3 linked regions of the Oreochromis niloticus genome follow. The protein of the gene in region 1 interacts with the protein of each later gene in a biochemical or structural test. Links are inferred from orthologs where the notes say so. Each region holds a gene or a part of one and is shown in the gene's direction. Other genes may lie near its edges.

Region 1 (10,532 bases):
GTGCAATATATGGTTCGGCTCTAGCAGAAAGCTGCTGGATAAGAGGAAAGACTTTTGCTCTTCCTTCCAAAATCCTCTATCAGTGAACTGACAGTCACAGAAGCAAGTATAGTAGACAACAGATTTGGCCAGTCAGAGGGAGATGTCTGTGGGGGATGTTTTCATTAAGGGATTAAGGGATAAGGATGGCGTTATTTTTATCTTTTACTTGTATCAACAAATCCCCTGAAGAGACAAAAGCCAGCAGCAGGGATATGGTTCTGTATTTACACTGCTCTACAGCGTTTGACAAACTGAGGGAGAAGACTACAATGGCTGCTTTCAATTGTGATGACAAATCAACAGCAAGGCTCTTTCATGCTGTTTTAAATGTTTTCAATCAGGGGTTTCTACAGCACAGAGGCAGAATATATTTATGCATCGCCAATTGTATATGCCAGTTTATAAGCCTGTCAATGGAATCTTGGTGCTTTAACGAAGGATTGTTAATTACAAATAAATGTATCCTCAGGGACACTGCTTAAATCTTTACAGCACAAAAAAAAAAACAAAAAAAAAAACCCAGCAGCAAGCCTTAAACTTTCTAGAAATCAAGATTTATTTTTTCCCCCTTTTAGATTTTCTACTTTGATCTATGTTCCCACAACATCAAAAAGAACTTTTCCACTTTCTACAGATTTCTTGGCTTCTTTTCATGAGCACGCAATTTTGTTTTTACTGTGCGCATCACAGTCACGACTAATCGAATACACTTTAACGTCTTCTTCCAACAAAACTTCATGTTTGTTTTAACAATAACATTTAGAAAAGCAGGTATGGAGAACTCACAGTTAAAAAGAAGACACAGAAAGTGTGACTTTAATTCATTCAACACATTATACATGTATACATCTGAATACAATTAACAGGAATCTTATTAAAGGACCTTTGTGCTTTTCTCCTTCCTACTGCAATGTCACTGAACATAGTAATGACATAATAATGAAAGATCATCACATTTTAACCTCAAACATGATGTGATGTAACGCTATATGGACTTTCATTCATGTATTAATATTGACAGAAATTTGTTGCAAATTGTGTTAACAAAAAGGTAGCAATGATGTAATATTCTTTTGATAGTAAATTATTTTAGATGAATAAATAGTTGGCCAGTATCAATTACAATTTTTTTAGACAGGTCAACTACATTTTTATTTTAATATATTTGTCGATATGTGCACGTTCCTCGGAGCAAAATATATAAAACGATACTTGAGATAAGTGAGAAGTGGTCTCTCCGTGTACTTTCCCCAACACCTGGGGCTGCTTCTGTTGTTTACAACACGCTACACAAAAAAGTTGGGGTTCAAGTTGAAGAGGTGGTAGGCGATTAGTATTATTTTCATCCATTTTGCCTTTTCAGTATATAACTGAACATATTTCAAGTATATAAAAGGCACGAGTTTCTTTTAAAACCCTTAAAAATGTATATTATCAGCCCAAATATCCTGTATCGGTTAGGCTCTCCTATGGATGCAATACATTTACATACTCAGCACAAATCACTTTGGAAATAACACACGTTTAGGTAGCTCTTTTAAGTTGTAACCATCAAAAAGTGTGTACCTGCTGCACTTTTTACGGAAGAACACGTCAGATTTCCAATTATATAAATTCACGTGACTATGTTATTAAAACACCCACATTTTGCTTTTAAATTGACTGAGGAACGTCAACGTAAGCCTACGTAATTCACGATTTCTCTTAAGACTAGACATAGTAAACATATTAGAGAGATTACTTTTTTTACGTTTACTTAAGTGCACATCACCTATCCCTTGTACCATGCACATCTGTCATGAGAAAGCGATTTGTAGCCACGCTAGCATGCTAACATCAGAGACAATTTGTGCCGGAAACACTAGCGTATGATATGTAAAGTCAAAATTGATCAAACGTCTAGTTTCGACAGCTATACAACTGCTTGTGGGGTTTCTTATACCATATAACTACAATAACTGGACCGTTAACTTACTTTGAATGCTAAGGTAGTGGTTCCATGCAGAAACTCTATTTTCCTTTCGACGCCATCATCGTCTCCGACACACAGCGGGTTTTTAACGGAAAAACTGAGGCTGTCCCCGGGCGTGCCTTCTAACCCCAGACCACTAGGTCCGGGTCCACCACCAAAAGCAAAGGACTGGCTACTATCAAACGAAAAATCCGCAGAATCACCGCTCAACACACTAGCAAGAGCCATCTTTGAAAATGTATGATGAACAAGCAACATCCGCCGCGGTAGTTTTTTTTTATTCTGTCATGGTAACAAAATCACACAGCGCCCCCTGTGTCTGTGGCGGAGTATTGGTTAAAAAAAAGCATGAGGTAAAGGAAATACCTTTTATTACACAGCTATTATTATTATTATTATTATTATAATTATTAAATTTACTTTTCAATGATAAATATAACAACATAATTCCTCCCACACATAAATGCTTTTGATTATTGAGTATTATTTGAGTTTGTCATTCTTTTTCTTTCCCTTCTTTTCTTTATCTCTGTAATATTCTTCTTTCAAGTCCTCTCTCTTTCTCTGGCTCCATCCTTGGGCTGTGATGTGGAAAAGGTCCACATTGTTCCCCGAGTAGGCATCCCTGTGAGTGGCCCTGAACACTGCTTCTCTTGCCAATGAGATGGCTTCTCCTTTACTCAGGCTCCACCTCAGCTCTCTGTCCAAGACTCCATAAGCATAAGGTGAGCCTGAGCCCACAGAGAAGACATCTCCCTGCAGTCGGGCTCCGTCACTGCACACATATATAAGCTTTGGACCGCTGTTAGGAGAAGTTGTTGCAGTAATGTTTTGGTTACTAAAAACAGCCAAGGAGCTATCATCAGTCATCCAGGATGAGTCTTCCAAACTTGTTGCACAGTCAGTGGCACCCTCTTGCTTATCCCAACCACACAGCGTAAGAGCAACACACATTTCAGTACCTTTAAAAGGATGAAGCATAGATGAAAGGAGCTTAGCTGTGGCACGTATTGAAAGGCGATGTCCATGCCGTAACTGGTACAGTCTGATCTCTCTAATCAGAATTCGCTCCCACAGCATGCAATCTGCACCACTACCAGAGGATGTGACCACTAGATGAGAGTGAATAGGGGTGATCTTATGAACAGCCGGACAGGCAACAAGCCCCCCGGCACTGGCACGTGTGTCTGCCGCTGCTATTACCCCACCTTGGAAGATGAAACCCAGGGTTGTTGTTCCATGAGCCAAACGGAAAGGCCTCTGGACTGTCATTGAATTTTTGGGTGGGCAGAAGGATGACAACGGCCTTTTAATGAAAGAGGAGGAATGTGGAAGAGGTGGTATAAAAAAATGCAGTGGTACTCCACAGTTGTTTTCAGATGTTTCCAGTCTTGAGTATCTTAGGTTGTAATGGTCACTCATAGGAAATGGAATTGCTGCATCCCCCAGGGATGAAAAAGAAAACCATTTATGTTGCACCGACCTTTCTTTGAAGCTGCAAACATCTTCCAAAGCCATGATGGTGTAGACACAGATACTTGATCACAAAATCAGAACATCTTTTCTGTTGAAAAGTAAATAAAAGTTGTTCTCAAACACAGTCTATCCACTGAAAAGCTGATCAAACACAATCTTAAGTGTCAAAGAAACAGGTCTGGTTTGTAGAGGGCGGATGCTGCTACTCTTTCTCATCTGCTTCTGAGTTCTTGCGCTTTTATAGCTCTTGCAGGTGTGACAGCTGGTAGAAATACACACACATATACACACGCCGTGTTCCATATCCAAAACCATTTATGGTTTATGTAAGTGATATTTTAGCCTACATGCTGTGAATTTGATACCCGCAGAAGCCAGTTTCTGCAAGTCCTACAAGTGAAGTTCAGTAAGGACAAGCAAAGCAAGCGGTGCTGTAGCTGAATCTATAAATAGAAATCAATCAAAACGTACCAAAGTGAAAGTGATCTTTCGTCTTTCATCTGAAACAGCATTCTGTCATAAAACTTTGTCGCTTGTTTTCATCCATCCTTTACAACACTGTCATTGGTAGGCTGCAACTGGCTATTGTACTTTCCACACAAAGCACGCCTGCCTGGATCCCAATGGAAACTGTAGGTGTTTCCATTTCACACATATGTCAGTGTCAGAGGCCTGCAGCGTTTTCTGGTTGTGTTCGCATGTGAAAACACAGCCAGAATTGGCAAATAGAGGAGCTTCTGTGATATATCATCATAACAGACAAGTTTTTGCCTTACTGACCACCTTGGCCAGCAGCAACTACAAGCATAATTTTATAGAATATCCCAGATTACTGTAGATTAAACAGAGCATTAAAAAAACAGGAACTCCAGCAACACTTGAGGAAAGAAGAACAACTTTAATAATTGACCAACGTGTTTTACTATGACCCTGATGAAGGCCACAAGCCAAAACGCGTTGGTCAATTATTAAAGTTGTTCTTCTTTCCTCAAGTGTTGCTGGAGTTCCTGTTTTTTAATTCTCTCATCTTCTCCATGCACCTTGGAAGCAGGTGAAGTTGTGCCAGGATTTTTTGCTGTGATTAAACAGAGCATGACATTTTTAAAATCATCTGAGGCTAAAACATCTTCAGCAGTAATGTTATTTCACATAACACTGAATTTTCTGCTGAAAAATTATTTTTTAATTTTAATTATTTATGAACAAATTGACAAATAAACCAGTTTTATGTGTAGTGAAGTGTGTTTGTGGTATTTTAATGGTTCTGTGGTTAAAGGAGTGGGTCTAAAAAAAGTCTATCTAAATCATTTCTGGTCAATGTTCGTTAAACTATACAATAGTTAACAATGTGTGCAGAAACAAGACGTCCGTGTACTGTAGAGTGCAGCGAGCTGCGGGAGGCTGTCAGCACATTTAAAAGACTAACAGACAGGCAGCACAAAACAATACGTTTTAATCTGTATATTAAAAAAAAACAAAAAACATACAATTAAATATAATTAAAAATAAAAATTAAAAAATTGTCCCCATTATCAGCTAGTAGTAAATATTTTTTTGTATTTGTACAGTGGAGAAAGGGCTTGCTGGGTTTTTATTTCTCAAATCTGGTTTCAATCATTATTTCATTTATTTTCTCTATCAAAGTACAGCAAGCGCGTTCGTCTTAGAAAAAGAAGTCGCCGTGAAACATCAAATGGCAACGTTTAAACAACGCTCGGTACACAATTATCGCGACAATGTACGCGATATGCAACTTGTGCACTCATTAAGCCATCTTGGTTCTGTCTCACGTTTGTTAGCCAGCAAGCATTGCATTCCTTAGGAGCCAAGATGGCGCCAGTTTCTTCGAAAGGCAGAGCAATGTGAAAGTCCGAGAAATCAATTCATTCAGTCGGCTAAAGTCATGGCGTCTGCCAGCACAGGGAGCAGGGTGTCCTGCGGGAGAGATTTGAATTGTGTGCCAGAGATAGCCGACACGTTAGCCGCGGTCGCCAAACTTGGGTAAGATGGTTTTTCGATTCTACATGTAATTTTTGTTTGGCCGAAATGAGCTTATGAGCAGAACGCGCTGCTTTGCTAGCACGTTCTCAGTGCGTGATGGTTGCTAAGCTAGCCGGTGAATTACCAGCACGTGCCCAAATCACAACGATGCTTGACACTGTAGTGAAGTGTGCACTACACAGGCTCTACTCCCGTAGTATATTTAAGGTGTGTGGAGGATTACTTAGAAAACAGGTTTGTGTTTCACTTCGTGTTGATATTATAAATATTTTGAATGTTAACTAACGTGCTTCCCTCCTCTGCTATCCAGGTTCGACTTCCTGTGCATGCCTCTCTTCCACCCGAGGTTCAGGAGGGAATATGAGCTGGAGCCCGCTAAATCCCGACCTGGAGCCCAGACCCGGTCCGACCTGCTGTTATGTGGCAGAGGTCAGTTTTCCTGCCCTTTTGTCTTCTGCAGTCTGAGGCATTACTAGCCATTAAATCATCAGTCCCCCTAAAGTGAGAGGAAACAGTGAGTGTGTTATGCTGTGCAGGGCATTTTGGGGCATGGTGGGGTCTACTGGTGCCCTTTATTTATTGGGTGGGGGGGGCGTCAAGGTCACTTTAAATTATATTTAAATGTAATATTAAATATATTTCAGCATAGTCAGTTTTCACAGTCCTAAAAGTGGAAAATTAACTTCTTATTAGGTCTGTTAAACCAAAACCACTGCAACCTTTACAATTCTCAGTAAATTAGTTTTTATTCATAGAACATAAATTTATCAAAGTTTGACAACATATGTTTGTGTAAGTGTGTCATGGCATAAATGAGGTTTTAGAAAGTTTCAGGAAAGAACTGCTGATGTTCAACGGGATGGAAAGGGTTACAGAATCATATCTACAGAGTTTGGTTTCCTCTGCTCCACAGCCACTGAACAACGTGTTGTTTATAGCAGGGTACTAAAAAGAGAGCTACTACTCTGCAAAAAGAATACTGAGCATTTGAACAATCTTGTGTGGGCTTCTGAGACCAGAATAGAACTTGCTAGTTTAAGTTTTAAAAACTCTGTTGGGAGTAAGGAAAACACAGAGTTAAAGCATAAAAACGTGGTGGTAGTATCATGGTCAGGGCCTGTTTTGCTGCATCTGAAGCAGGGTAGTTTGCCAACATTAATGGAGCAATGAAGTCTTTATGTCAGGACATCTGCCTGCAAACCAAATTTCATCAGAAAGTAGGTTGTGCTGAAAGACCAATCCTAAAAATGCCATTTGTTCTGCTAAAGCCCAGCCTAAGAAGGAAAGTAGATGTTAAGACACTAATTCTAATCATTTTCATATTTTGTATTAAATATTCTATCATAAGAAAGATGTGATTTTAGCATAAAGGTAAAGTGATTAGGTGTTTGATGCTTTCTCTAAAACGTCCTTTTGTTCTGTCTAGATTGGAATACTCTAATTGTTGGGAAGCTCTCTCCGTGGATCGATGCAGATTCAGAAATCGAGACAGAACGCAGAAACTCAGAGGCTGTAAGTTCTTTGAGTTTGATGGTGCTTGTGAGGGTTCTTTGATCTTGTGATATGAGTGAGGTTATCATGTCATCTCTTTAATGCTTATCTTACCTATTTTCCCATGTTCCTCTCCAGGCTCTTACCCAGGAGCTAAACTTTTCTGCCTACCTGGGCCTGCCTGTCTTCATGATCCCTCTGAAGGGCCCCAGTAATGCCAATCTAGCCCGAGTGCTGCTAAATCACATCCACACTGGACATCACACCTCAAATGTAAGACGCAGCACATCAGGAATCGACAAGCACACACAGACTGCGTTAAGATGGCAGAAAAGTCAGACAGTAGAAGTCCTCGTTTAACCGCTGCTGTCCTCTTTGTTGATTAGTTCTGGATACGCGTCCCGCTGATGGCGTCAGAGGACATGCGGGAAGATCTGATTGAGAATGAACCGATCTCTTGTACTGATGACACAAGCATTGATGAGAAGACTTGGAGCTGGTTAGTTTCATGCCACAGCACTTCCTGAGCAACTGAGTGCCGTCTGCATGCTGAAACGGTTACTATTGATTTCCTTTAAAACGGTGTCTGTCTTTGTTTACTTACCTCATCTTTTTTTTTTTTCATAGGTGGAACTCATTCAGAACCCTTTGTGACTACAACAAGAGGATCTGTCTTGGTGAGAGAACACACTTTGAAGCAGCAACCTGGGGCAACCTTTGGGCATTGAGAAATAATTATGCTCCTGTCTGTTACTGAGATTGTGCTTCGTTTGTATTCCTAAAGCGGTTGAAATTGGACCAGATATGCCATCAGACACTGTGATTGATAAATGGCTCGGAGAACCTATCAAAGCAGCCATTCTCCCCACCAGCATCTTCCTAACCAATAAGAAGGGCTTCCCTGTTTTGTCGAAAGCCCATCAGAGAGTAATCTTTCGACTCTTCAAGGTATAAACTAACATTCATAGATTGTTTGATTTTAACAGAACTCAATCTGCAGTCAAATACAAAAAGGTTGGTTTTTGTCTACTTGTGAAAAAAAAATCTTTAAATTAAAATGATCTTCTTTTATAGTTGGAGGCCCAGTTCATCTTCACAGGCACCAGTCGGCACACTGACAAGGACTTCCGATCCTACCTGCAGTACCTGGAGTACCTCAACCAGAACAGGCCTGCACCCAATGCCTACGAGCTCTTTGCTAAGGGTTATGAAGACTACCTGCAGTCACCTCTACAGGTGAGGAAGTACACTTTCATGCTCACGTTTTTATGCCTCTGTGCAACTGGAAGCCATAGCTAGATGTATAGTTATTTCTGGTTGGATCACTGAAGGAACATCAGATTAGATTTTTATGGTCAAAAGTACTGACCTTGCAAAATATACATTTTAAGTCAAGAATTAATTGTGACATATTGTACACATGTCTAATAATATAAAGTAATGAATTGATGGCATACTCAAAAGGTTTCTCTTAAGAGATACGAATGGAAACTGCAGTTTCACTGGTTGGTAGAATTGTAAAACTGTGAGGCTGTTGTTTTGTTTTTACCTGCTAATCAGGACCTTTTAACATCATGTTTTGCTTTCTTTGTTTAGCCTCTGATGGACAACTTGGAGTCTCAGACATACGAAGTGTTCGAGAAGGATCCTATTAAGTATTCACAGTACCAACAAGTAAGACAGTCAGACATTTTTTGGGTATGAGGAGGCATGGCACAGATGTTACAGAGAGGTCTTTGCTTGTCCAGTAGACATACAAATGCAGTAAAATCTGTTTCCCCTACACAGACTTTACTTGGGCAGACTGTTCAGATATGTTGATGCGAGTGCATTTGTTTTTATCCATCACAGAGAACACGGCTAGCTGTGATTCATTTTATTAGTGGACAATCCCTTTGCACTTATTTTGAAAATTCAGTTCCTGGCTCATGTTTCCTTAGTGGATGGTATCAGTTTTCAATATTGGTCAGTTGCTTTTTACCTATGAGCTTGTAATTATTATCCATCTGTCCATTTTCTTGGAAAGCCCTGATCCAGCCAGTGGACTTGGAGCCAGAACATTCTTACTGTGAAGCAACTGTGTTCACCACCGCACCACACTGTTGCCCCTAATCATTATCATTTGCATCGGCCTCTGTTCAGCCTGAATGTGAAGATACGCATAGTTATTGTGTCTGTGTATGTAGAGCTTATCCACACAAAACAGACTGTCACTCGTGTAGCATTTGAAAAACACTGACATTCAGGTGTTTAGTGTTAGCAAAGGGGTTTAAATGGTCTCTAAGAGTTTGAGGCAAAATGTATTTAACACCTGTTTTGTTTTTGTTTTTTTCTTTGCGTGTGCAGGCTGTATATAAATGTTTGCTAGACAGAGTTCCAGAGGAGCAAAAGGACACTAATGTTCAGTAAGTATCTAAAATTATTGTATAAAGAGTCACAAATGAGATTGTGGAGTAGGAACTATATCCAGATATTGATTCATACAGTATCATGGCACTTTATAATATACTCCTATAAGTCTCACTGGAAGTAGAACAGGATAACACACACTGACTGTTTAAACTTCAGTGGTAGCCACCAGGGTAGCAGCCTTGTCTAAAATAATGATGTGTTTTTTCCACAGGGTGTTGATGGTGTTGGGAGCAGGTAGGGGTCCTCTGGTCAATGCATCCCTGCGTGCTGCCAGGCAGGCAGACAGGAGACTGAGGGTGTATGCTGTGGAGAAAAATCCCAATGCTGTAGTGACGTGAGTAAAATAATGCTTTCAAATGTTCCATGTTTCACAGTGTACAAGCAAAAATATTACCACATGCAACAGATCAATTGTGCTACCTGAATGAGTCTATAGATTGGATAAAAGCTTGGCCTTTGATTCTAGCTGAATTTATAGTAAGTCAGGAGGGGATTGAAGTGAAGCCTGAAACTTTCAACGCTTATTTTATTGATGTGTGTTCTCTAGGCTAGAGAATTGGCGCTTTGAGGAGTGGGGGGATCAGGTGACGGTGGTGTCATGTGACATGCGGGAGTGGGCCGCACCAGAGAAAGCTGACATCATTGTCAGCGAGCTGCTCGGATCATTTGGCGACAATGAACTCTCCCCAGAGTGCTTAGATGGAGCACAGCATTTTCTCAAAGGTATTTCAGGATTTTAATGAAGACTTAATTACACATGTAGACACTGCAGAGTCATCAGAGGTCATTTTTCTACATTGCCACACCAAGCCATATTGAAAGCGTCACCTTTAATGCTTCCTGACTTTAATTACTTTCATTTTCCCCTTTTTTTTTTTATATCAACTCACCTTCAGATGATGGAGTGAGCATTCCCTGCTCATACACATCCTACTTGGCTCCTCTGTCGTCCTCTAAGCTTTACAATGAAGTACGAGGGTGCCGGGAACGAGACAAGGACCCAGAGTCCCATTTTGAGACGCCCTATGTTGTGCGCCTTCATAACTTCCACCAGTTGGCTGATCCCAAACCCTGCTTCACCTTCACACACCCCTCAACAGGTAGATGGAATCGCTTAAAGTCCCTCTAATAAGCTTGT
Region 2 (10,932 bases), on another chromosome or scaffold:
GCCACGCTAATGCCATGCACGGCCTGAAATCCTTTCATCTTCTCAAAAGTTGACTGCGCGCCTTTTGTATGAATTCTGGTTGTGCTTGATGACGGCGAACCGATTTTATGTGATACACAGCGCTCAGCAATCTGTCAAAAAATGTTTTAGTTCGACTTTGGTAAGCTACGGAGCTGCACCGCTTGATGGATTGTCGGAGCATTACGGCTACCGAGGAGCCTCGCGGAGTGATACGTACTGTGCTTCAATGTAATATTACCGTATTGTGTGTGTATAAGGACCATAAATGGCACCTGTTCAGAGACATGGTTACGAAGCAGATTTCAAACTCCAGGCTGTCAGTCACGCAGTAGAAGATGGGAACAGAGCAGCTGTGAAATCTGTCTATGTTATTATGCTCAGCGTCTTTTAGTTTACATTTTGACTGCACAATTGTGAGCTCTTTGTTATGCACAAAACAACATAGTTTTCTTTTATTTATAGAGCATCATTATTTAATAAATGCTCATAATTTATTTTTGAGTAGTTTTTTTCATGTACATCTCTGCTGTATGTTAATAAAAGTGCCTGTGTGGCATCTGGGACACAGCTTTGACTAAGAACTCTCTTTTTGTTCTTACTTTATGGTTTTAAAAAAAATATCGAGATATATATCTTATATTGCCATCCAGCTACAAAATATCAAAATAAGCAGACAGACCACTGGATAACCAGTCAAATGTTTCATGAATAAATTTGATGATGTGATAAAGAAGTGGCGTTCCTCCTCCAACCACAAACAGGACGCTCAAGAAGCGAGCAGTGTCAGTGTTTGTACGACACTCACCAGGAGACCTCTGAGCAGGATGGCTGCAGTCACACAGCTCTGCTTCTCCCTGCTGTTCACTCTCATCAGCAACATTCATGCAGAAGAATTTATCCTCACTATTGAAGAAGGAGGCTCTCTTGAATTCAAGCTCCCAGATCAAAACAGCTCCTGCATCACCTCCAGACGTGTTGGTGAAGATACTCTGGTCCTGTGGAACATCTCTGACCCCTGGAACAGAAACGTCACAGTACATGAAGACCTGACAGGACGACTCTCATTTCCTGAGACATTTCATGGTTCTCCTTCATTTACTCTCAACAGCCTGACCCACTCAGACTCTGGACTGTACCAAGATGTGTGCTGGACTCAGGGCAACGTGACATATGAGAGAAACATCAGCCTGACTGTGTGCAGGAAAGTAAGTAAGGAAACAACGCGTAATGTAACACACAAAGCCATAGTGGATGTACGATGTGAGGGAGCAGGTGAGGATCTGACGGTGAAGTGGATCAAACATGACTTTACGTATGACAAAGACTTACAGCTAACAGTTTTAGATGATGGCACAGCTTTGAAGGTGGACAGATTAAAAGAAAGTTTCCTGGAGGTGAAAAACGCATCACTTCTTCATGTCTTCAACACATTACAAACATTGTACATCTGCCTGGTGATGAACCAACAGCAGTGTGTGAGCACTCACTCAGTACGTTTGACCAAAGCAGCAAAGATAGTCCATGGCTCAGTGGGAGACACAGCTGTGCTGCAGTGTCCCTTCATTCATGACCCACACCCGGTTTGGAGGAAGTGGGAAATGGGCTCGAAGACTTATGAAGAAGTCGGTCAAAACTACTCGCTGGTGCTTCCATTGCTAATGTTAAATGATTCAGGTTGGTACACCTGTGGAGGTCAAACCATAAAACAATGGTATAAACTTTTGGTGTGCCCCAAATTTGGTCCACCTGCAGTAGAGGTCTTCTCAGAGGGAGATGATGTCAATCTCACATGTACTACTGAAAGAAAACTGGGTATGAAGCCCTGGTGGTTTATGAAATCGATAAAAAGAGAAGGTAAAATCATTGAATTTACTGAGATTATTGAAAATCAAATCAGAATCCTTCTTTCCAACGACAGCCTGATAATGTCTAATGTCTCACTGGAAGATGCAGGAGAGTATTGGTGTACAGTTTTAGAGTCAGAGATTGAGTGTGTGTCAGCAGAAAAAACAGTTCTGATCCACAGAGAGCCCTTTGGGGTTTACTCGACCTTCTACAGAGTCAGGTGGATACTGCTCAGCGGTCTGCAGGTGATGCTTTGTGTTGTTGTGGTCTGTGTGATACAGAAAACCAGGAGAGGAGAGCGGCTTTCAGCTCAGACACACACTTAATATGCTTATCAGCATTTATAATGGTAATAATGATAACAACATTATTATTATAAGTAATCATAATAGTGTTAATATTAATACAGGGACCTAGGATTGATGAAACAAAAACAAAAACAAAAACAAACAAAAGTATTATTGTAGATATGAATCTGTGACCTGACTGGACAGCTCGCTCTCTTATCTGATTATATATTTTAAACATTTTGCCTTTTTAATTTTTCGACTTAATTCTTATTTTTTTGTACTCATTTTTATTTCACCTAGAATGATTATGTGCTTTTTTGTTTCATGTGATTTGTTTTTTATCCATATGTCATTCATGTATCTCTCAGAGTATCATTGTGAATATTCTTCTGTTTCTATCAGTGATCAGTTCGATCTATAATAAATGTTAGAAACCAGTTGTAAATGTATTCGTTCTTCACTCTGATGTGAATCATTATCATCTCTCTTGGAAAATGTATTTTGTTATTGTGTTTAAGAGCAGATTCATTACAGCACCATGTTTATCTGCACTATATTGTTTTCATTGTTGTGAATCATTTATATTTGCATTTCAAATTGTTGTGATGCAGCAGACTGGAAACATGATTGTCTGATACAGCAAACACTTCATAATATGGACTTTACTGCTTTCACTGTGTTTTTATATTCTCCATTTTTGTTAGGAATCATTTCTGAAATAAAAATATCAAAATCTAATTTAACAGGCTGAATGTTGATGCTCTTCTGTCAATGACTCCATGATGATTTTTAATTTTAATAAACACACAATCCTCATATTTCAGTGCAGGATTTAATAAACTGGATCAGAGCTCCCAAACTTTATTTTCAAGCAAATAATCAGGATTTTGAGTTAATATGCAGCCAACACGCTTTAACATGTCTCTGATGTAGAGTGAAACATGTTACAGAGCTGTTATATCATTTATTAATATGGTGATTGTTTCAGAGGGAAATGTCAGTCTGACTTTGTTCATTTCATCTTATTTTTGAGAAATGATCAAACGAAAGGTTTTAAGGAATGTCGTCCTGCTTTTCTTTAATGTGCACTGATAAGTTAGTGTAAATCATGCAGATAAAAGAAGGATGAAGGACATGAAAATAAAATGCACTGTCGATCACATAATATCACCAACATCAATCAGTGAAAAACATTTACAGTGAAGCACGAGCCTGACTGATTTTAGGATAAAAGTTGAGGTGGAACTGTAATCGTGGCCTCAGTCCTGCTGTGGGTGTTCAAAACAAGAACATTGCGGGAGAGCCAATCACTTTTCATACATTCTCAGAAAGTCACATGAACAGTAAAAGATTACATCTGACACACTGAATGCTGATAAGTGAATACTGAGAATTTAGAAGGAAATGTTTTTAACTTGTTCCAGATAGTCTCATTGAAACTGTCACACTAATCTTTGTACTCTCTCAAACTCAGAAAAACTCAAGAAATCTAATTTTTTTCATAATTTAAACATTTTCTCCAATTCGTAAGTGCTATGTAAATCATTAGGGTCTAGGTGTTATTGTCCTTAGTGGGTAGCTCTGTGGTCTCACAGTAAGAGGATCCTGGGATCAAACCTGGTCAGAACTCTGTGAGGGGTTTGGATGTTTTCTTAAGGAGCTCCAATTTCTACAGTCACCAAAAACAGTTCAGGCTAAGAGAACCATTACACCCACTGCACTGGTCGCTTCACACACCAGCAATAACATCATAACAGCCACGTGCATTTATATACACTGCTAAGGTGTTTTTGACACAGTGGCAAACAGCAAAACATTCAGAGGTTCACTGATACCGAAATAAGACTAACGTGTGGCTTGTGCCAATGGATTTAACATCACTTTTGTCCTTTCTTATCCTCGCCAGAGCAAGAACACCAAGGATCATGGCTCCATGATGTCACCGATCTGGGTTCAGGACCTTAAAGAAGTTGTTACTCTAAAGCGATTGTTAATCTGATTAGTTCTCTCCTGGTTTGAGGAGAGAGATGAGAAACAACAAACTGGATATCACATTTATCTTCCCCTCACACCCCTGGGAGGCTGATGTGTGTCCCACAGGATCTAAGTCCAGTTGTTCTCTACCACCTCCAACAGTGAAGCACAGCTGGAGTTGAGGACTTGTAATCGACATGTGACACAGATGTTCCTGTACACTACCCCAGTCGTCTGTGCATCTCAGTGTACAGGTACGCCCACATAGAATGACCACCCCCAGATAGCTACCAGCGAACTGCCAGCCAGTTTCCACCTGTTGGCCGTTCCTCCTCCTGGGGTGTTTGGGCTTTCTACACTCCCCTTTCATTCAGTTACAGAGTGGCACCAAGAGGTGGCGCTTTCTTCACAAAAACTGAAAATGTCAAATAGACCAAACTTTACAGTCAGCTTGACTTTTCAGACATTTTTCACTGCACTAAAAGTATTCCTGGAAAACATTCTTTCATTTTAATTTAAACCAATTATTAATTAAAGTAAATTATTAATTAAATAAATAAATGGAAAAAGGCAACCATTGATAAAAACGTCCTCATACTCTAAGCTCAAAAGCAGATGTGAAGGTAAAATCTGATATTTGTACAACTTTCATGTTTCATTTACTGTTTGCTTCAGTGTTACTTGTTCAGACTTCTGTTTCATCTCTAAATATAATTTATATTTTTCCATCAGATTACAGCTCCTTTGTTCTCTCATTTTAATTTTAGTAGTTTTTCAAGTGGTTGTTCAAAAAACACCTGAGGCATTGACAACATTTTTAGGTAAATAGTTGTATGAACTTTATTGTTTATAACATTTGTGCCTAGGTTTTTTTTTGTTTTTTTTTAAATTTACAATTCATTTTTGCATTTCAAGCTGTGAAAATAATTCTGTAGATATGTTTGTGGTTTTTACATTACAAAACCAAAAACAATGACAGCCTTTTTCTACTCATTTTTTATGTTTTTGTGTGATTTCAGATCAGTTGTGTTAATACAGTATGCCAATAAATTCAGACATGTGAGATTGTGCTGAAAAGGTTGATACCAAACAAGGCAAGGCAAGAATAAAAAATGTAAAAACAATTTAAAGGTGATGAAATACAAAAGTAAAATCAAAAGTAGCCAAAAATGGCCAATTATGGCCATTAATAAAAATATCAAAATCTAATTTAACAGGCTGAATGTTGATGCTCTTCTATCAATGATTCCATGATGATTTTTAATTTTAATAAACACACAATCCCCATATTTCACTGCAGGATTTAATTAACCGGATCAGAGCTCCCAAACTTCGATGTCAAATGAGTAATCAGTGTGTGTGTGTGTTCTGAGGCAAGATTAGAAAATTGCATAACTGCCTCAGTGCTTGTAAACCTTATAGTCCTTACAAACTCTGTCTTTATTCTGTTTCCAAACAATTTTTCAAGAAACCGATATAATGAGGATCAAACTTATTTGTAATATTTTTGTTCTCCACTCTCTCAATTGACAAAAATACCAACAGAACAAAAACGTTAAATGTGAACACACAAATGAATCATGAAAAATTTCAGTATATTATAAAATAGTTTTGACTCTCAGGTTGAAGATGATCCTGGGATTCAAATCTTGGTGAAAATGAGATCTTTCAGAGCTCTGAAGCTTTGATGTCAAATGACTAATCAGCTGTAAAATGCACATTATATTTGCTAAGCAGCTTCTTATGTGGACCAGTGTAATTGGAGTGTAATCCAAACGTAATGAGTTACTATTTTGAATATTAATGATTCTTTTTTTATTAAGGCAGTGTTTAAATCAGTTACTGAACCTCCTCAGTTAGTCACTCAAATTTGTAACCAGTGAGGAAACCCTTAAGTTAATGTCTTTACCAACAAGTGAAAAAAGGAAAGAAAAAAAATCTTATAAAGTCAGTGGTGTTTACTCAATATGTCCTTTCTTTTTTTATACAGATAATCATTTATTTTTACTTTGTTGATTTGTGCTTGTTTATTTAAAAAATCGTGTTTGTACTGTCTATATGCTCAGTCTTTGTTAGAATGTTTATTTTTTACTCTTTTTTTTGTAAATAATGTAAGAATTTATGTTTCCACATCTTTAGGAATAAAAGATTAGGGAGCAGCTCCATCTCGCGGCAGCTTTTCAAACTGCCAATCTGGAGTGTGTGAATTCTCGTTGGGAGTTTTGTGTTGTCGCGATACTTCAGCGTGACGTCACCCTGAACCAGCACTTTGTAACTCCAGTGTTTTCAGTTTTTGTCACGCCTGTTCTCGCACTCAAAGATTTCCGTCCCGGATCTGCTAATCCAAGGGACGAAGCGTTATAGCACGGCTGCCGTTTTCTCGCCTCCAGCTGTCCGACACTGATTTAGCACTGAGAAGTTACCCCGGGTGAAATTAGCCATCTTTAGCCAGTACAAAATTTATCACGCAGCAGCGCGTTTTCACCGGTTTCTGTTCTTTCCCGTCCCAGCGGACCGAGGACTATGGTGTTACTGAAAAACCTCCAACCTCCCACCGAGGGAGTGAGACACGAACAAGCCGAGACCACGGCGGTGATGGACGGCCAGCGGCTCGGCTGCGGCACCCTCTACGTCGCAGAAACGTAAGTGGTGCACGTGGCGCATGCTTTGCTCTTTGGCTCGTGGGTCTGGGGTTCAGGCTCGTGTTTATTGAGGTTCTTATCGGGCTTTCACGCGCCCTTTATTGGAAATTACACCAGTTTACATTATAGACACAAAAATAAACGTCTGCTCCGTGCGCTGAAATCACTTCCGGAGCACAGTCTTTCAAAATAATACGTTGCAGAACAAAATGTGGATGTCTTCTTTTGAATCCAGTATTAGAAATATGTTTACTTATTATTTATATTACATTTTTTTCTTGTACCTCTCCGTAAACATGATATATTTTGTGTCTGTTTTTGTATACCTTAGACTCTCGGTAATGTTAAAAGGCGGGTTTCTTTTTTCCTTTCTTTCATGTTTATTTTTAAATAAATGTATTTTTTATTTGTATTTTTTTGGAATTTGTTTCTGTGCTATCATTGTATTTCTTTCCTTTTTACATTGTCTTTGCGTTCTTTTTCTTCTTCGTGTTGTTATATTATTTCAGTTATTCAATTCTTAATTTAATTTCTTATTTATTTTTCTTAAGCTAGTAAAAATTTTTGGATAAGCGCAAAACAGCAATAAACTGGGAAGGAAACATTGTGTGCGTAAATTCAGATTTTACAGCTGTGTTATATTTCTCACAGACCCACGCTGTTGCATTACAATTACATACTGTCTCATTACATATTTTTTTACTTTCAGGAAGTAGAAGCAAACAACGTTAAAGTAATTTAGTTGGAATTTTTTAACATTTTTGAAAATATCATTTGATAAATTAATAGTCAGTTGAGACCGTAATTAGTCGTTGCCAGAAAAGTCAGATAATAAGCCTGACAGACATTTAAAAGCATCTAAAAGTTGTTTAGTGCTGTTGTTTAAAGCAGTTTGTTTTCCTTTTATCAGGCGCCTGTCGTGGTTTGACAGCTCAGGCCTGGGTTTCTCTCTGGAGTATCCCTCCATCGGACTGCACGCCATCTCCAGAGACGTCAGCGCTTACCCACAGGAACACCTCTACGTCATGGTCAACGGCAAACTCAACAGTGAGGCGAAGTTTACATCTGAACTTCATATCTCTTTTTACTTGTTTAGGCAGGGGGAGTCCAGTCTTCGGGGTTGTTAAAGCGTGTTTGACCTGTTCTGTACAAATAGTTTCTTTACAGTTTCTGAAGGAGTTTTTGGGTCACTGCTGACTTCTCCTTACAGAAGAGAACGAGGCAGAAATGGCAGAGAAAGCAGCTGATGATGATGATGATGATCATGACGGCAGCAGTGATGGTGGTGACGATGATGAAGACGAAGGGACGATCACAGAGATTCGATTTGTTCCCAGCGACAAAGCGGCATGTGAGTGACCTCGCTGGGGATGAGCAGCAGACATTTCAACATGGCTGCACATCCTGTATAAACAACAGTTGGAGATGGCGCAGCATCACACTTATACCTTTGTGTGCTTTACTTGCAGTGGAGTCCATGTTCTCAGCCATGTGCGAGTGCCAGGCGCTTCACCCCGATCCCGAGGATGACGACTCGGACAACGACTTTGAAGGAGAGGAGTACGACGTGGAGGAAGCCGGTGAGGCAAAACTCAAATGCATAGATGCAGATTTGTCTTTAGCAGACACAAAGAAGACAACAGCTCCCCACATTCCAACAAACAGTGATCTAAATCCTCAAATTAATTCAGAAACACAAAACAGAAACAGAAAATCTTTCCAGAAAAAAACTGAGTTTTCTTTTTAAGCATTTTATTGTATTTGTGAATACAGAATAGAATTGGCTTTGTGTCTAATTGTATTTCTATTGAAGTGATTTTCTTACATCACCAATGGCTGTTCTTGTAAAGTTGATCTGTTCTGCTCATTTCCAACCTAAATTTTTATTCTTGGACACTGAATTATCTTTAAACACATTTCATATTTACTGTATTCCTCCTTCCGACAGCACCAGTTCATCCTCGATCCTCCTTTGTCTGACACAAACTCCTCCCGTTTATCTCCTTTAGCTCCACCCTCCAGAGGAGCTCCACTCCTTTAGCTTCCTTCTGATGGATGGATGGATGGATACTTTATTAATCCCACAAGGGAAATTGTTGTTGATTAGCTTTGTCTTGCAAAGAGACGGTCTGGCTAGCCACATTATGGATGTCCCCATGTTTGAGATTAGACAGATCCAGGTTATAAACCAATCCTCATTAATAAGCGCTTAAAAGCTCATAATGATTACTTGTTAGTATGGTGACCTCGTGATTTGTTATGGTGGCTGTTTTACTCTGAGCACGCACCATTGTAGCTGCATATATGACAGAAAATAAGGATTACCAAATAGTTCCAGTTTAAATAGTTTACTGTAAAGAACATTTGATAAAATACTTCTTTTGTCTGAATGTAAAAGTCTTTTCATTTTTCTCCTTCTGTCTTTTCTCTTTCCCCTTCACGGACTGATGACTCGGACTGTTTGCTTGCAGAGGCTGGTAAGTTTAAATGAGATGAAACACCTTGCTGAGCAGAGTAACTGATGTTTATGGCAGTGCAGTTTGGACAGGTGGAATTAAACACTACTCTTTGTAAATATGTCACTGAAGAAGCAGCAGGACTGAGAATAGATGGTTATCAGCAGCTGAACTTTCAAAATAAGAGTGAGGGGATTGTGCTATCCTGTTGTTAAGTGATGATGCGTGAACCCTGCATCCAGGTCCAAACTGCTGTTGTCTTTTTAAGGTGTCATTTAATCTGAACAAGTCCTTAAAATTAGTCAGTGATCACTGCCTGTCTCTCTGGGTTTTTATTACCACTATTCATCTGCAGCACATTTTAAAGCTCAGTTTTTAAAACCATGTGGTGTAACTACAGCCCAGCGGCTCAGGTTTGCCAGACACCAGATATTTGATGTTGTCAGAAAAGAGTCACTCTGAGACTAACATTGATTTGAATGGGTACACAGCTGTTTAGTTCTCTGTGTTCGTCTATGTGTGAAGTGACAGCAGAGTTTTTCAGAAATCCCTCAGAACATGGTGCATCATCTTTAGATGGAACGGCTAATGATGTCAGACTTACAGGGCAGACTGGAGATGCCACTGTTTCTTCCAACAACCAAAGAAACAGTAGAAAGAATTCATGAGTCGTTGTTAGATATCAGTCTGGGAGCTATATTCTGTGTGCGTAAAAGCTTTCAACACCTTTATCATGTTACAGCAAAAACACACAGGTAGAATTTGTCTTTAAATTGTTGCTGCTGCGTCACCATCTCTCTCCTCCACCTGCTTAGAGCACGGTCACGCTGACATCCCGACCTTCTACACCTGCGACGAGGGCCTGTCGGCACTAACGCAGGAGGGTCAGGCCACGCTGGAGAGGCTAGAGGGGATGCTGGCTCAGTCAGTCGCTCAGCAGTACCACATGGCTGGAGTCCGGACGGAAGAAACAAAAGCCGAGTTTGAAGGTCAGTCACATAAACCTCGACCTGTCGCTCTTTGTGTTTTAGTTTTGTAAGTAATGATATGACACACGGAGCACGATGAGACAGATGTGAGGGACACAATTACAAAAGTTTCCAGACTAAAACTAAACAAAATGACACCGTAGATACAAAAAAGGTCAACTCATGTTCAACGTTGCTCTGATGTGTATCAGGAAGGTGGAGGAGGAGATGGTTGATCGGCATGCAGCCTGTCATCCATTGCTATCTGAACTTTGAAGCATTAGTGTTTTGGTTGCCACCATGTTGGTTTATTCAACAAACTGTATTTGTCAGATAAATTCATTAAAATGCTTCAGGAGGCATCAGCAGCATAGACAGAGTGGAGGTGAAGCCTAGCAGGCAGCTAGCAGCTACACCTGTGGTGACACACCTGTCAATCAAAGCAGCCAGTCCCTAACTTTAAGCTCTGGTGTGAGTTATCATCACCTGTACAGTTGTTACTAAAAATGAAACTATCCTATGTTTTTCTTACCTGCTTTAACCAGTCAATGAGAGACTAATAAATATACTGTTCAGTTTATAATGTAGAGCAAATATAAATGACTTACATTTCCTCAAAAAAATCTTTTCTGTGCAGTGAAAATTAAAGTATTTCTGGATGATTTTCAAGATGAGGATCAATTATTTTAAGATTTATTTCTGGTGTGTGTGTTTATGTTGACAGATGGGATGGAGG
Region 3 (11,309 bases), about 28 Mb from region 1:
TCTCCACCAGCAGCAAACCGGCCCACCCGCCAAGCGAGCAATCTCCATCTCAGAATCAGAATCAGAAACTTTATTGTCATTGTCACCAGTACAACGAAATTAAGAAAGGTCCCCGATCATTGCGTCATCCCTAACAATATCAGAAAATAAATAAAACAATAAAATTTCAATAAATAAAAATAAACAAAATAATAAATAAAATAAACAAAATACTTAAAATACTAATAAGACATATCAGTAAACATTCACGTACATTCCCACATACATGCCTCAGACAGCGAATGGATTAACACAAGAGTGGCGTGATGGACATTATTTTGCAGTATTCAGATGTGTTATTGCGGTTGGATAAAAGCTGTGTTTAAGTCTATTAGTCCTTACACTGATTGCCCTGTACCGTCTGCCTGAGGGCAACAGTTCAAACAGGGAGTGACCAGGATGTGAGGTGTCTTTAATGATGTTTTGGGCCTTTTTAAGACAGTGGATGTTGTGTAGAACTTCCAGTGTGGGGAGTGGGCAGCCAGTGATCTTTTGGGCGGTGTTAATGATCCCTTGGAGTGCTTTCCTCTGGGCTCCTGTGCAGCTAGTGTACCAAATGCATATGCAATAGATTGGTACACTCTCGATGGTGGCTCTGTAGAAGGACACCAGCAGTCTTTGTGTGATGTTATTCCTCCTGAGAATTCTCAGGAAGTCTCTGTTGGGCCTTTTTCAGCAGCTCGGAGGTGTTCACACTCCAGGAAAGGTTCTCCTCTATATTGACTCCCAGGAAGCGGAAGCTTGCCACCCTCTCTACGCAGTCCCCATTAATGAATAGTGGTTGGATCTCTGCCTTTTTCCTTCTGAAGTCTAATATGAGTTCTTTGGTTTTTGAAGTGTTGAGGAGGAGGTTATTGGCCTTACACCATGACGTCAGCTGCTCCACCTCATCTCTGTACATAGACTCGTCACTCTTGGAAATGAGCCCCACCACGGTGGTGTCGTCTGCGAATTTCACAAAGATGTTGCTGTGGTGGCGAGGAGTGCAGTCGTGTGTGTAGAGAGAGTAGAGCAGTGGACTGAGAACACAGCCCTGGGGTGAGCCAGTGCTGAGACTCAGGGCTGAGGATGTGTGATGGCCAACTCTGACTCTCTGTCTACGGCCCGAGAGGAAGCTATAGATCCACGTGCAGGTGCTGTATGGAAGCCCCAGGTCTTGTAGCTTGGCCACCAGTTTGTGTGGGAGGATGGTGTTAAAAGCTGAGCAGTAATCCACGAAGAGCATCCGCACGTAGCTCCCATGCTCTTCCAGGTGTGTTATGGCAGCATGGAGTGCTGTGGCTACAGCGTCTTCCGTGGATCTGTTTGCTCTGTAGGCAAACTGGTGTGGGTCCAGGCTGAGGGGCAGTGCTGCTGTGATGTGTCTGCGGACCAGCTTCTCAAAGCATTTCATTACCACCAGAGAGATCTTTTATTGGCGAATCAGCATGCAGTATTTCTGTGAGAAGCTCTGTCACATATCATGGAGTCCAGCTGACTGAGGAGAAGGTCAGAGGTTCTCATCTAATCAGGATCGACTACAATTTCCTGCAGAGCTCTGCGGCTGAAAGGAGGAGGGTCTTTCATCAAACATCAAACATCTGTTCTTCTGAACCCTTACAGGGTGGCGCAATCCTGTTTGGAAGTTCATCCTGCTCCCTGACGACTCTGCAGCTTTCCTCAGCAGCTTCTCGCAGTACAGCTGTTTTAACCACAGATCCAACAAGCCAATCAGTGATTTCAAACCTTTATGGCATGACATCACATCGCTGACAGACACCGCGTGATTTAAAAACGCCAGAGCATCCCGCCTCCACGCTGGAAAACACGCCTTTGTTCCAGCTCTGCTCAGGTTCTCCTCTGGATCTTCCCGTCGCCACACAGATGTGAAAAACCTGCCGCTTCGGTCTGATGTCACTTCCTGTAACACTCCGCCTTCGCAGACAGACATTTACGAATGTAAAGACAAAGTTTGTCGTTTTCTCGGAGGAACCGTTTCTGCGACGTCTCTGAACGAGGAGCATGTGTCCGGGTGAGCGCGCCCACTGTCTCAGTTTCCTGTTTCGCCCCGCACCGTGACGATGACCATGATGTTCATTGTTAATGGGAATGTTGGAAATAAAGGTTAGTTTACAAAAAAAGAAAAAAGAAATGTTACCGTTTGGCATCAGTGCGACGCAGTTATCTTCATCGATGCGAGTCCTGTAGGACAGACCGAACACTGCACCTGAAACACAGACAGTCACAGCAGGGGGACAGGTGAGGGCGTGTGTGTGTGAGTCTGTTGCTATGGGTAACTAATGTCAGGCTGGAGCTGAGTCATTGGATATAAATTAAAGTTCAGAGCTGAAACTCAAAGTCGTCACGATAACTTTGTGACGATGACGTGATTCATATTCCTGCTCCTCTGGGTTAACATGGAGCCCGTGCTCTTTATTCACCCGTTGCCATGGCGAAATTATGGAACTAACTCCGATCAGCTGTTTGGGAACCTTAGAGGTTTCTTTTAAAACTTTGTTCCTGGAATGGAGCTCAGGTGTGTGTGCGCACAGGTGTGTTACCGTGGTACACGGCCGTCTCCAGGAAGTGTCGGTCCAGCAGCTCATACACCGGCAGCTTCTTGATCAGGTAGAAGCTGCTGAAGTTGTTCAACACAGAGTCCAGGTGAGAGGGGGCGGAGCTACACTCAGGAAGCAGCACAGACACCTGCACAGTTGAAACAGCTGATTAGGGCTGCTCAATTAATCGAATTTTAATCTCGATTACGATCTGGGTTTTCAACGATCATTAAAAATGACTGAGCCGATTATTAGCACCTCCCTCGTGCTTTACTCTCGTGCTGCTCCGTGTGGCAAATCGAGCGCACCTCTCTGCGTTTCGAACACGCGTCACAACAGTGAAGAGGACCCGAGGGAAGCTCGGAAAGCTAAGCAGAAGTTATTTGGAGAGGAGAGGATAATGGCTGCTGAAGAAAGAATGCCGTTGGTTGAAAAGAGGTAAAACGACTTCAGTGGTGTGGAAACCAATGTTCCCTCTAAGCTGCGCACGTGCGCAATTGCGCACTGCTGGCACGGTCTCTGCGCACAGAAAATCTGCGTTGCGCACAAAAAAAATCTAACCCGAATTGAAATTAATATTAAAACTTTAACAATTCTGTTTTGCAGTGTTAGTCAGTGAGTGACTGGCTGCTCCTGTATGGGATTAGAACGATGCCACCTTATCCTATAGTCCAGCCAATAATGCGATTCACATTCGTATATACGCAGCCAATCAACGTCGCTGACAGGCTATGACAGCGTCCTTATGTGCCGACACCGGTGTTTTAGCTAGCAAAGCGGCGTGGCTGATGTGCAGTGAAGCCACGTTAATGACAACGTGTACAACCATTGGAGATGTGAGCAGGGCTGGACTGGGACAAAAAATTAGCCCGGGCATTTTGACTAGAGACCGGCCCACCAGGTATTATGGGAAAAACTAGAGAGCCTTTGAATGAAAACAAACGTCGTTGTGACAGTGATGTACACTGTCTTGTTGGTATATATGTATCAATCTAGAACTTAAACCTACACCATCCTCCCTATTCTGGTATTCTAAACAGTACTTAGCCGAAACCCAAAGACTGCTTGGTTTACCTCCTGAACTTTCTACAACATATGGTGGAAACTTGAAATTAAGACAGAGAAGCCTAGAGGTGAGACATGACCATTACTGAATATTAAAAATAATAAATGACAGATTTAGTGATATTTTCATAAACTATTTATTTACCACATCAATAAACAGCATGGCAGGGCAAAATATTTTTGTAACATGGCAACCTTTAAAAAGTGAAAGGAGACAGAAAGAAAGGTGAGAAAGAATAAAACTTCCTCACTCAAAACTTACCATCAAAACTTAATTTTGATGGTATTTTACACACAGTACTGGTACAGTATCTAGAAAATGTGGGAAAATACTGGCATCATATACAGTACTTACTTCTGAAGAAATTATGTTGGGACCCTGAAAAAAATTACTATGTACAATAATGGATTTCTATACATTTGACATCAGATGAAAACTTTGGTTGTATGACTCAGATAATTATTTGTTAAAAGCTAGAAATTTCAAATGAGAATAAGAAAGAAACGTATTTTTTGTGCCCCCCTTTCCCTGTTAATGCCCTACCTGGCCCCCTGGCAAAACTTTGCTAGACCCGCCCCTGCACAGTTACCAGCTGTCAGCTAGAAAAGGATCCTGGTGTTATTTGTCTCCCAGAAACAGTTCATAACTTCCCTTCAACCCTTCATCCCTCCAGCAAACATCAGCTGATACTAGAAATTAATATTAAATAAATTCTAACAACAGCTCATCAAGTTTAAAGGTGCTTCTGTTGTTTAACGCGACCTCCGCTGGTTTGCTCTTTCTGACGCAGAGAGAAAAGCCGATCAGCTGATCATTGATCATTGATCAGCTGATCGGGACAAATCGCGTTGCTTTTCACCTCAACTTTAAAGTTCGACCTCCTCGGCTGTAATTGGTCCAGCCCAGAGTCGATCATGACCAACTGGCCAATACACCACTATTCATTTATACCGTTGAAAAAATAAAAGAAATAAAACCCCATCGGCCCATAAAAACGAAAAATCACGAGCGGCCCACCGGGAAAATGCCCGGTATGTATGGGCTCAAAATGTGGTCATAAATATTTTGTACTTGTAAATCAGTTTTGTATGTGTAAAAAGAATTTGTGCGTGCGTAAAAAAGATTTGTATGTGCAAAAAAGATTTGTTTGTGTGTAAAAAAGATTTGTATGTGTAAAAAGAATTTGTGCGTGCGTAAAAAAGATTTGTATGTGTAAAAAAGATTTGTGTGTGGACTTAGCCAAAAACCCCCCTGCAAGTTACAAGTACGAATTTTGACCCTATTTTTCTTCCTGTCATCTGATTGGTCAATGTCATGTCAATCACAAATGTAACAATCCAATCAGAGAACAGATGGGTTTGGCTGTCGGAGGGGCACTTTTTTGAACTGCAGGTCCTTGAAGGGTAATACAGTTTGAAGCTGGAGGATCTCTATATAAATATCCGATAGCAGCTAGGTCCCCTAACTTTCAGCAGCTGTTGAAAGGATAAAGTTGTGGTATGTCAGTGGTTAGAAATACCATTATTACTTTAGGATTAGTTTAACACAAAGTCAGGGCTGACCCGGGACCATTGCTGTGAGTCACAGTGCGCAGCATAAAGGTCCTTTCACATCGGACGCAGGATGTGCTGCTAATGCTAACTGCTAACTAAAAGCAAAGGATCCAGAATTTGTTGCGCTGGCTGCTGAGCTCTGTGGGTTTTTGCAGCAGCTCTACCTGTACTAGATGCACCTGCTCCTTGTCGTTTCTGTCTCTGACTTTATGTCCTCTACAAGAGTTTGGTTTTTTTGCTAGTTCTTCAAATGTTCAATAAAAACATGTATGCTAATTCATAACGAAGAAAGCTTTGTAATGAAGACTGTCATTTCCAAAACACTGCCCCCCCGGTCCGCAGCGCTGTTGAAAAGGCTGTGGAAGTCCCTGTATAAAGCACGTAGACCTGTGACACAAAAATCACCAAACTCGGATGACCACAGACTGTTTTCCTTTGTGGTGATGAAGGAAAACGCTGGGTTGGCATGTAAAAGGGCATTTATTCCCTTCAAGGACCTGCAGTTCAAAAAAGTGCCCCTCCGACAGCCAAACCCATCTGTTCTCTGATTGGATTGTTACATTTGTGATTGACATGACATTGACCAATCAGATGACAGGAAGAAAAATAGGGTCAAAATTCGTACTTGTAACTTGCAGGGGGGTTTTTGGCTAAGTCCACACACAAATTCTTTTTACACACACAAATCTTTTTTACACATACAAATCTTTTTTTACACACGCACAAATCTTTTTTACGCACGCACAAATTCTTTTTACACATACAAAACTGATTTACAAGTACAAAATATTTATGACCACATTTTGAGCCCATAGGTATGCCCGATGGCCAGTCCAGCTATGGATGTGAGCAGGACAGACGGAACAATTGACGGACAAAGTGTGGACTTTATACCAGTTTTTAAATTGTGTTGATCGGCCACGTAAAACCAGAGTTATGATAAAAATATCTGCAATGTTTGGTTTTCTTCCTGAATACTATCGTTGTTTATATTTACTGCCGGAAGAAACGGTAAAAACGGCGTTTTATAAGGAAAACGCTCGAAAGCACTCTCAGCCTGTGAGCAAAAACAAAACCAAAAAACCCCCCACCCTTTCCTATTAGTCGAAAAAAGTACCGTGTCGACCAATCAAAAAAATGATATGGCAACGTGGCATCTAGTTGTTAAGAAACGGGGGGAAGTTTTAGGAGTGACGGCGGTGTTCTGAGATGTGAAAGATTTGAGAGGTTTGACCTCTCAGAGCAGCTCCCACGGGTGCTGGGTGGGGTTGAGGTCAGGACTGCAGATCCATACTCTCCACTCCCAAATCCTGAAGTTAGTCTCTGGTAAAGCCGCTCTGTGGGGGCGACTGCTGACTCACCTCTGAACACGCAATCCTTCCACCTCAATGCTCTGAACGGTCATCCACAGAACCACTCGCACACTGAGCCCTGCTGCTCCACCCGCATACTCAGCACTGCTCCACTCGTGACTGCTCTCCTTGCACTCGATCAAACACGACTTTAAATTTACATGAAGCCGTCCGTGAGCCCGACGCTGTGAAGCTAACGGCTCGGAGGTGAAAGGTCAGAGGTGAAGGGTGAGAGCGTCACCTGGTGGTTGAAGTGCAACTGCTGCACCTGCGCGCTGATCCGGTTCTTCGGGTCCAAGAAGCTGGAGCTCTCCGACACCAACAGAGTCCGCGGAGTCCGGTCCAGCTCCGAGGACGTCATCTTCTTCGGCTGCGAGCTAACTACACGTGTTTCCGGCCGCGGCTTTTCAGTTTAAAAGCTCCCGGTAGCGAACCGGAAGTGTTCGTTGTTTTTATTTTGGAGGATATTCCGGCTGTTGGGTGAATGGGGCGTTTGTGTGTGTGTGTGTGTGTGTGTGTGTGTGTGTGTGTGAGAGAGAGAGAGAGAGAGAGAGAGAGAGAGAGAGACGGATCGGTGGATGTGATGTGACGTCATCCTCCGACCCGCGCCGCTCTCCGTAGTCACGTGGTCGAACCCGGAAGTGGAGCAAACACGAGGAGCGGCGCAGCACAATCGGTCTCGAAGGTTCAGCGCTTACCTGTGTTTACCTGTGTGAGAGGCTTTGACGTCATGGCGGAGCCGGCGTGTGTACCTGGGCAGTTTGATGACGCGGAGGAGGACAGGTGAGTTCGTTCGTTTGTTTTGATGCTGCGGTGTAAACAGTGAGGCTGTACCTGGCTAAATCACCATGGTAACAGGTCACCTAAGGCCTGCACTCCATAGCAGGATTCAGTCTTGTCCAGGTAACCTCAGGTGTAACCTGGGTTTCTGTGCTGTGAAGCAGCAGCTGATGCTTTCATGTGTGAGCTTTTCTGTCATGTTTACTGACGTCACCTTACACACACACACACACACACTCTCAGTGTAAGTCTCCATGGCCGTGCTGTCGGTGTTTCAGTCCCATACACAAACCAGCCTCTCGCCATCAGGGCTTCTTGTTTCAGGTCAGGTAAAATTCAGCTCATCATATTTACTACATAAATACAATCAGCAGGCTTCAGGCCACAAGAACAGAACCACGACTTTAACCCACAGAGGAGCTCTGATAGCTCCACAGAGGGGACCAGTTCACAGCTCAGGCCTCTGCCCTCCTGACCATCGGGGCACCAGGGCTGCCTCCTCCCTTATCATTACATCTTGTTTGCTGTATGAGTAACTTTCACAGAGATTTCAGCAGCTCTGACTGTGTTTTTGTTGTTTGTTCTTTTGTTTTTTTGTTCTGCAGTGTCAGGTCAGTGGAGCTGACTCGCATCAGTGATGCACTGCCTTCATCAGAGCAGCAGGATTTCAGTGAGGAGGAGGATGTGGATGATGAGGATGAGTGGGCCTGGAGCTCAGCAGCAGATCTGGCCAAAAGATACAACCAGGCAGCGGGTGGCTTGCAGGTGAGACAGGAAGTGAGTAGAGGTCAAAGAACCAACAGAGTCTTCCAGGTCTAAAAGATGGAAGGATGGATGATGTATGTGTTGAACACCTGATTATGCAACAGAGGAGCTAACAGAGGGACTAACAGAGGAGCTTACAGAGGGACTAACAGAGGAGCTTACAGAGGGACTAACAGAGGAGCTAACAGAGGGACTAACAGAGGAGCTTACAGAGGGACTAACAGAGGAGCTAACAGAGGGACTAACAGAGGAGCTAACAGAGGGACTAACAGAGGAGCTAACCGAGGGGCTAACAGAGGAGGTAACAGAGGAGCCAACAGAGGGGCTAACAGAGGAGATAACAGAGGGACTAACAGAGGAGCTTACAGAGGGACTAACAGAGGAGCTTACAGAGGGACTAACAGAGGAGTTTACAGAGGGACTAACAGAGGAGCTAACCGAGGGGCTAACAGAGGAGGTAACAGAGGAGCCAACAGAGGGGCTAACAGAGGAGATAACAGAGGGACTAACAGAGGAGCTAACAGAGGGACTAACAGAGGAGCTAACAGAGGGACTAACAGAGGAGCTAACCGAGGGGCTAACAGAGGAGGTAACAGAGGAGCCAACAGAGGGCTAACAGAGGAGATAACAGAGGGACTAACAGAGGAGCTTACAGAGGGACTAACAGAGGAGCTTACAGAGGGACTAACAGAGGAGCTTACAGAGGGACTAACAGAGGAGCTAACCGAGGGGCTAACAGAGGAGGTAACAGAGGAGCCAACAGAGGGGCTAACAGAGGAGATAACAGAGGGACTAACAGAGGAGCTAACAGAGGGACTAACAGAGGAGCTTACAGAGGGACTAACAGAGGAGCTTACAGAGGGACTAACAGAGGAGCTTACAGAGGGACTAACAGAGGAGCTTACAGAGGGACTAACAGAGGAGCTTACAGAGGGACTAACAGAGGAGCTAACCGAGGGGCTAACAGAGGAGGTAACAGAGGAGCCAACAGGGGGGCTAACAGAGGAGATAACAGGGGGGCTAACAGAGGAGGTAACAGAGGGACTAACAGGGGGGCTAACAGAGGAGATAACAGGGGGGCTAACAGAGGAGCTAACAGAGGAGATAACAGGGGGGCTAACAGAGGAGATAACAGGGGGGCTAACAGAGGAGCTAACAGAGGAGATAACAGAGGAGGTAACACAGAGACTAACAGAGGAGGTAACAGAAGGGCTAACGGAGGAGATGAGTAGTTCTTTGGAGGACTATTTCTGTGGAAAGCTAACTGAACCTTGTGCTACATTAACATAATTATAAAATGATAGATAGATGGGAATACAAACTTTAGTCTATCTTTGTTTATTCTAATTGTTCTCAGCTTGAATCAGAATAAAAAGCATAGAAATAAAAACAAGTCTCTATTTCCTGTTGCCTCCATTGTAGAAGGTGACTTTGTCTCCAAACAGGAACGTGTACAGTCAGAGGTTAACGTGGATTCAGCAGGTGGAGGAACCTTTAAATCAGCTGTAATGTCTGAGTGTGGGGAAAAGACTCAGTCATTTCCACTGAGAGCTCCAGTAGAGTTTCTTAGTGTGCAGGCTGTGATCAGCTGACCTGCTGCTCTCTGTGGATGTACACACCTGGATTCATCCAGATGTGAGCAGATGTAAAACTCATATTCTTGAGTCATATTTCTTTCCATTTTAATTCATTACTTAAACATTCAATTAATTATTTAATGGGCTATTTAATTGTTTTTGGTACTCCTGGCCCTCCATACACTTGCTGTAAGCTAACTGTGAGCATGAACCCACAGCCACTGTGCAGCAGTCACAGACTCTACTGTAAACCAATCACAGTGCAGCAAACTCACCTGTTCATCCTGCAGAGGATTCTCATGCAGCCTTTAAATAACACAGTCAGTCTGCCTCAGTTTGATTAGCAGCAGGTTTATGAACAAACACAATGTGACAGATTTAAAACCATGAGGACTTCCATGTGAGCTTTAAATGAGCGTCCTTCCTTTAACTCTAAGCTGTCTTCTTCCTCTCCTGTCCTTCCTTCTTATCTGTCTCCATCTCTGAGTGAACTTAGCTCTCTGTCTTTCTCTCTGTCAAATACAGCAGCTGAACCTTTAGCTGCAACACACTGAGACAAACTGCACAGTTTGTGTTTGCTGATGTTTGTTGAGCTGATAAGTGTCAGCTAATAGAAATGAGCTGACAGCATTGCTCCTCTTCTGTAGTGCTAGCTTGATGCCGAAGAGTGTGTGTGTGAGAGAGAGACGTTATAAACTGAGTCATTTTTGTGCACAGAGTCTCCGTCTGCAGTCCAACAGACAGAATCCGTCCAAGAAGCTGCCATCATCAACACCATCTGACAAAGCTTTGAGGAAATATGAACACAAGATCAACCTGGGTACCCCACACACACACACACACACACACACACACACAGCTTTTTAGTTTCGTGAAGCTCTTAAACGACATCGATGTGACGTTTCATCCGCCTTTCAGAACGACCTGTCTGCTTACAGCTGATTGCCAGTATTGATCATATTGATCATATTGATTGATCACCTGCACCCAACGGCCTGCTATAAGCCGCTGTGGAGGTCTGGAGCCATTGAAGCATCCTCCAGTCTGCGTCTCTGGTCCAACGTTGGTGTAGGCTTTTTAGTTATGATCAGGAATCGATTGCAGTGATTGATCGTCTTTGTTTTCTGGCAGACAAACTGAACTACGCAGACTCGGTGATTAATAAAGTGACGACGATGCAGAAACAGAGGGAAGCCGACACGTGAGTCTGAGAGCAGCTGATGATGCTGACATCAGCCGGGGTGTTCCTGCTGTGACTCACATCCTGATTGGCTTCTCTCCACAGGTACAGAGTGAAGGACAAATCAGATCGAGCCACAGTAGAACAGGTGAGTTCCTGTAGCGGCTCTGGCCTACAATCTAGAGCACCTTAAGGCGACTGTTGTTGTGATGTGACGCTTCCACTTTTACTGAGTTCTTTAGGAAAGAACTGCCAGGAGGTTAAAGATAATAAGGTGAAGATCAATAAGCAGCTGATGCTTTCTTCTTCTTCAGGTGTTAGACCCTCGAACTCGAATGATTCTCTTTAAGATGCTGAGTCGAGGAATTATCTCCGAGATCAACGGCTGCATCAGCACCGGGAAGGAGGTCAGACCATTCAGTAATCGCTCGATCAATACGCTGAATGGTTACACATGCGC

Evidence for each region.
Region 2: the proteins of prmt5 (region 1) and clns1a form a complex in vitro, tested with the Homo sapiens proteins (5 studies listed by BioGRID and IntAct, with this or other methods). The link is inferred for Oreochromis niloticus from reciprocal best matches to the Homo sapiens genes PRMT5 and CLNS1A.
Region 3: the proteins of prmt5 (region 1) and riok1 are reported together in a solved structure, tested with the Homo sapiens proteins (2 studies listed by BioGRID, with this or other methods). The link is inferred for Oreochromis niloticus from reciprocal best matches to the Homo sapiens genes PRMT5 and RIOK1.

Annotation. Positions count from the first base shown.
Region 1 is NC_031982.2:6,914,017-6,924,548, forward strand, and holds the start of prmt5 (protein arginine N-methyltransferase 5), read left to right. Parts: upstream 1-5,253; 5' UTR 5,254-5,393; coding exon 5,394-5,491; intron 5,492-5,801; coding exon 5,802-5,920; intron 5,921-6,917; coding exon 6,918-7,003; intron 7,004-7,120; coding exon 7,121-7,255; intron 7,256-7,368; coding exon 7,369-7,481; intron 7,482-7,609; coding exon 7,610-7,659; intron 7,660-7,766; coding exon 7,767-7,930; intron 7,931-8,056; coding exon 8,057-8,218; intron 8,219-8,578; coding exon 8,579-8,656; intron 8,657-9,328; coding exon 9,329-9,387; intron 9,388-9,605; coding exon 9,606-9,728; intron 9,729-9,941; coding exon 9,942-10,117; intron 10,118-10,290; coding exon 10,291-10,494; intron 10,495-10,532. Other genes in the region: psmb5 (proteasome subunit beta type-5), read right to left, coding at 2,018-2,272; psmb11a (proteasome subunit beta type-11a), read right to left, coding at 2,498-2,817, 2,932-3,286. UniProt on the Homo sapiens protein: Arginine methyltransferase that can both catalyze the formation of omega-N monomethylarginine (MMA) and symmetrical dimethylarginine (sDMA), with a preference for the formation of MMA.
Region 2 is NC_031979.2:35,679,060-35,689,991, reverse strand, and holds the start of clns1a (methylosome subunit pICln), read left to right. Parts: upstream 1-6,361; 5' UTR 6,362-6,653; coding exon 6,654-6,772; intron 6,773-7,682; coding exon 7,683-7,819; intron 7,820-7,982; coding exon 7,983-8,123; intron 8,124-8,241; coding exon 8,242-8,352; intron 8,353-9,243; coding exon 9,244-9,249; intron 9,250-10,043; coding exon 10,044-10,217; intron 10,218-10,920; coding exon 10,921-10,932. UniProt on the Homo sapiens protein: Involved in both the assembly of spliceosomal snRNPs and the methylation of Sm proteins.
Region 3 is NC_031982.2:34,660,929-34,672,237, forward strand, and holds the start of riok1 (serine/threonine-protein kinase RIO1), read left to right. Parts: upstream 1-7,128; 5' UTR 7,129-7,277; coding exon 7,278-7,330; intron 7,331-7,932; coding exon 7,933-8,104; intron 8,105-10,386; coding exon 10,387-10,489; intron 10,490-10,800; coding exon 10,801-10,870; intron 10,871-10,954; coding exon 10,955-10,997; intron 10,998-11,163; coding exon 11,164-11,256; intron 11,257-11,309. Other genes in the region: rpp40 (ribonuclease P protein subunit p40), read right to left, coding at 2,177-2,245, 2,580-2,724, 6,789-6,908. UniProt on the Homo sapiens protein: Involved in the final steps of cytoplasmic maturation of the 40S ribosomal subunit. Involved in processing of 18S-E pre-rRNA to the mature 18S rRNA. Required for the recycling of NOB1 and PNO1 from the late 40S precursor.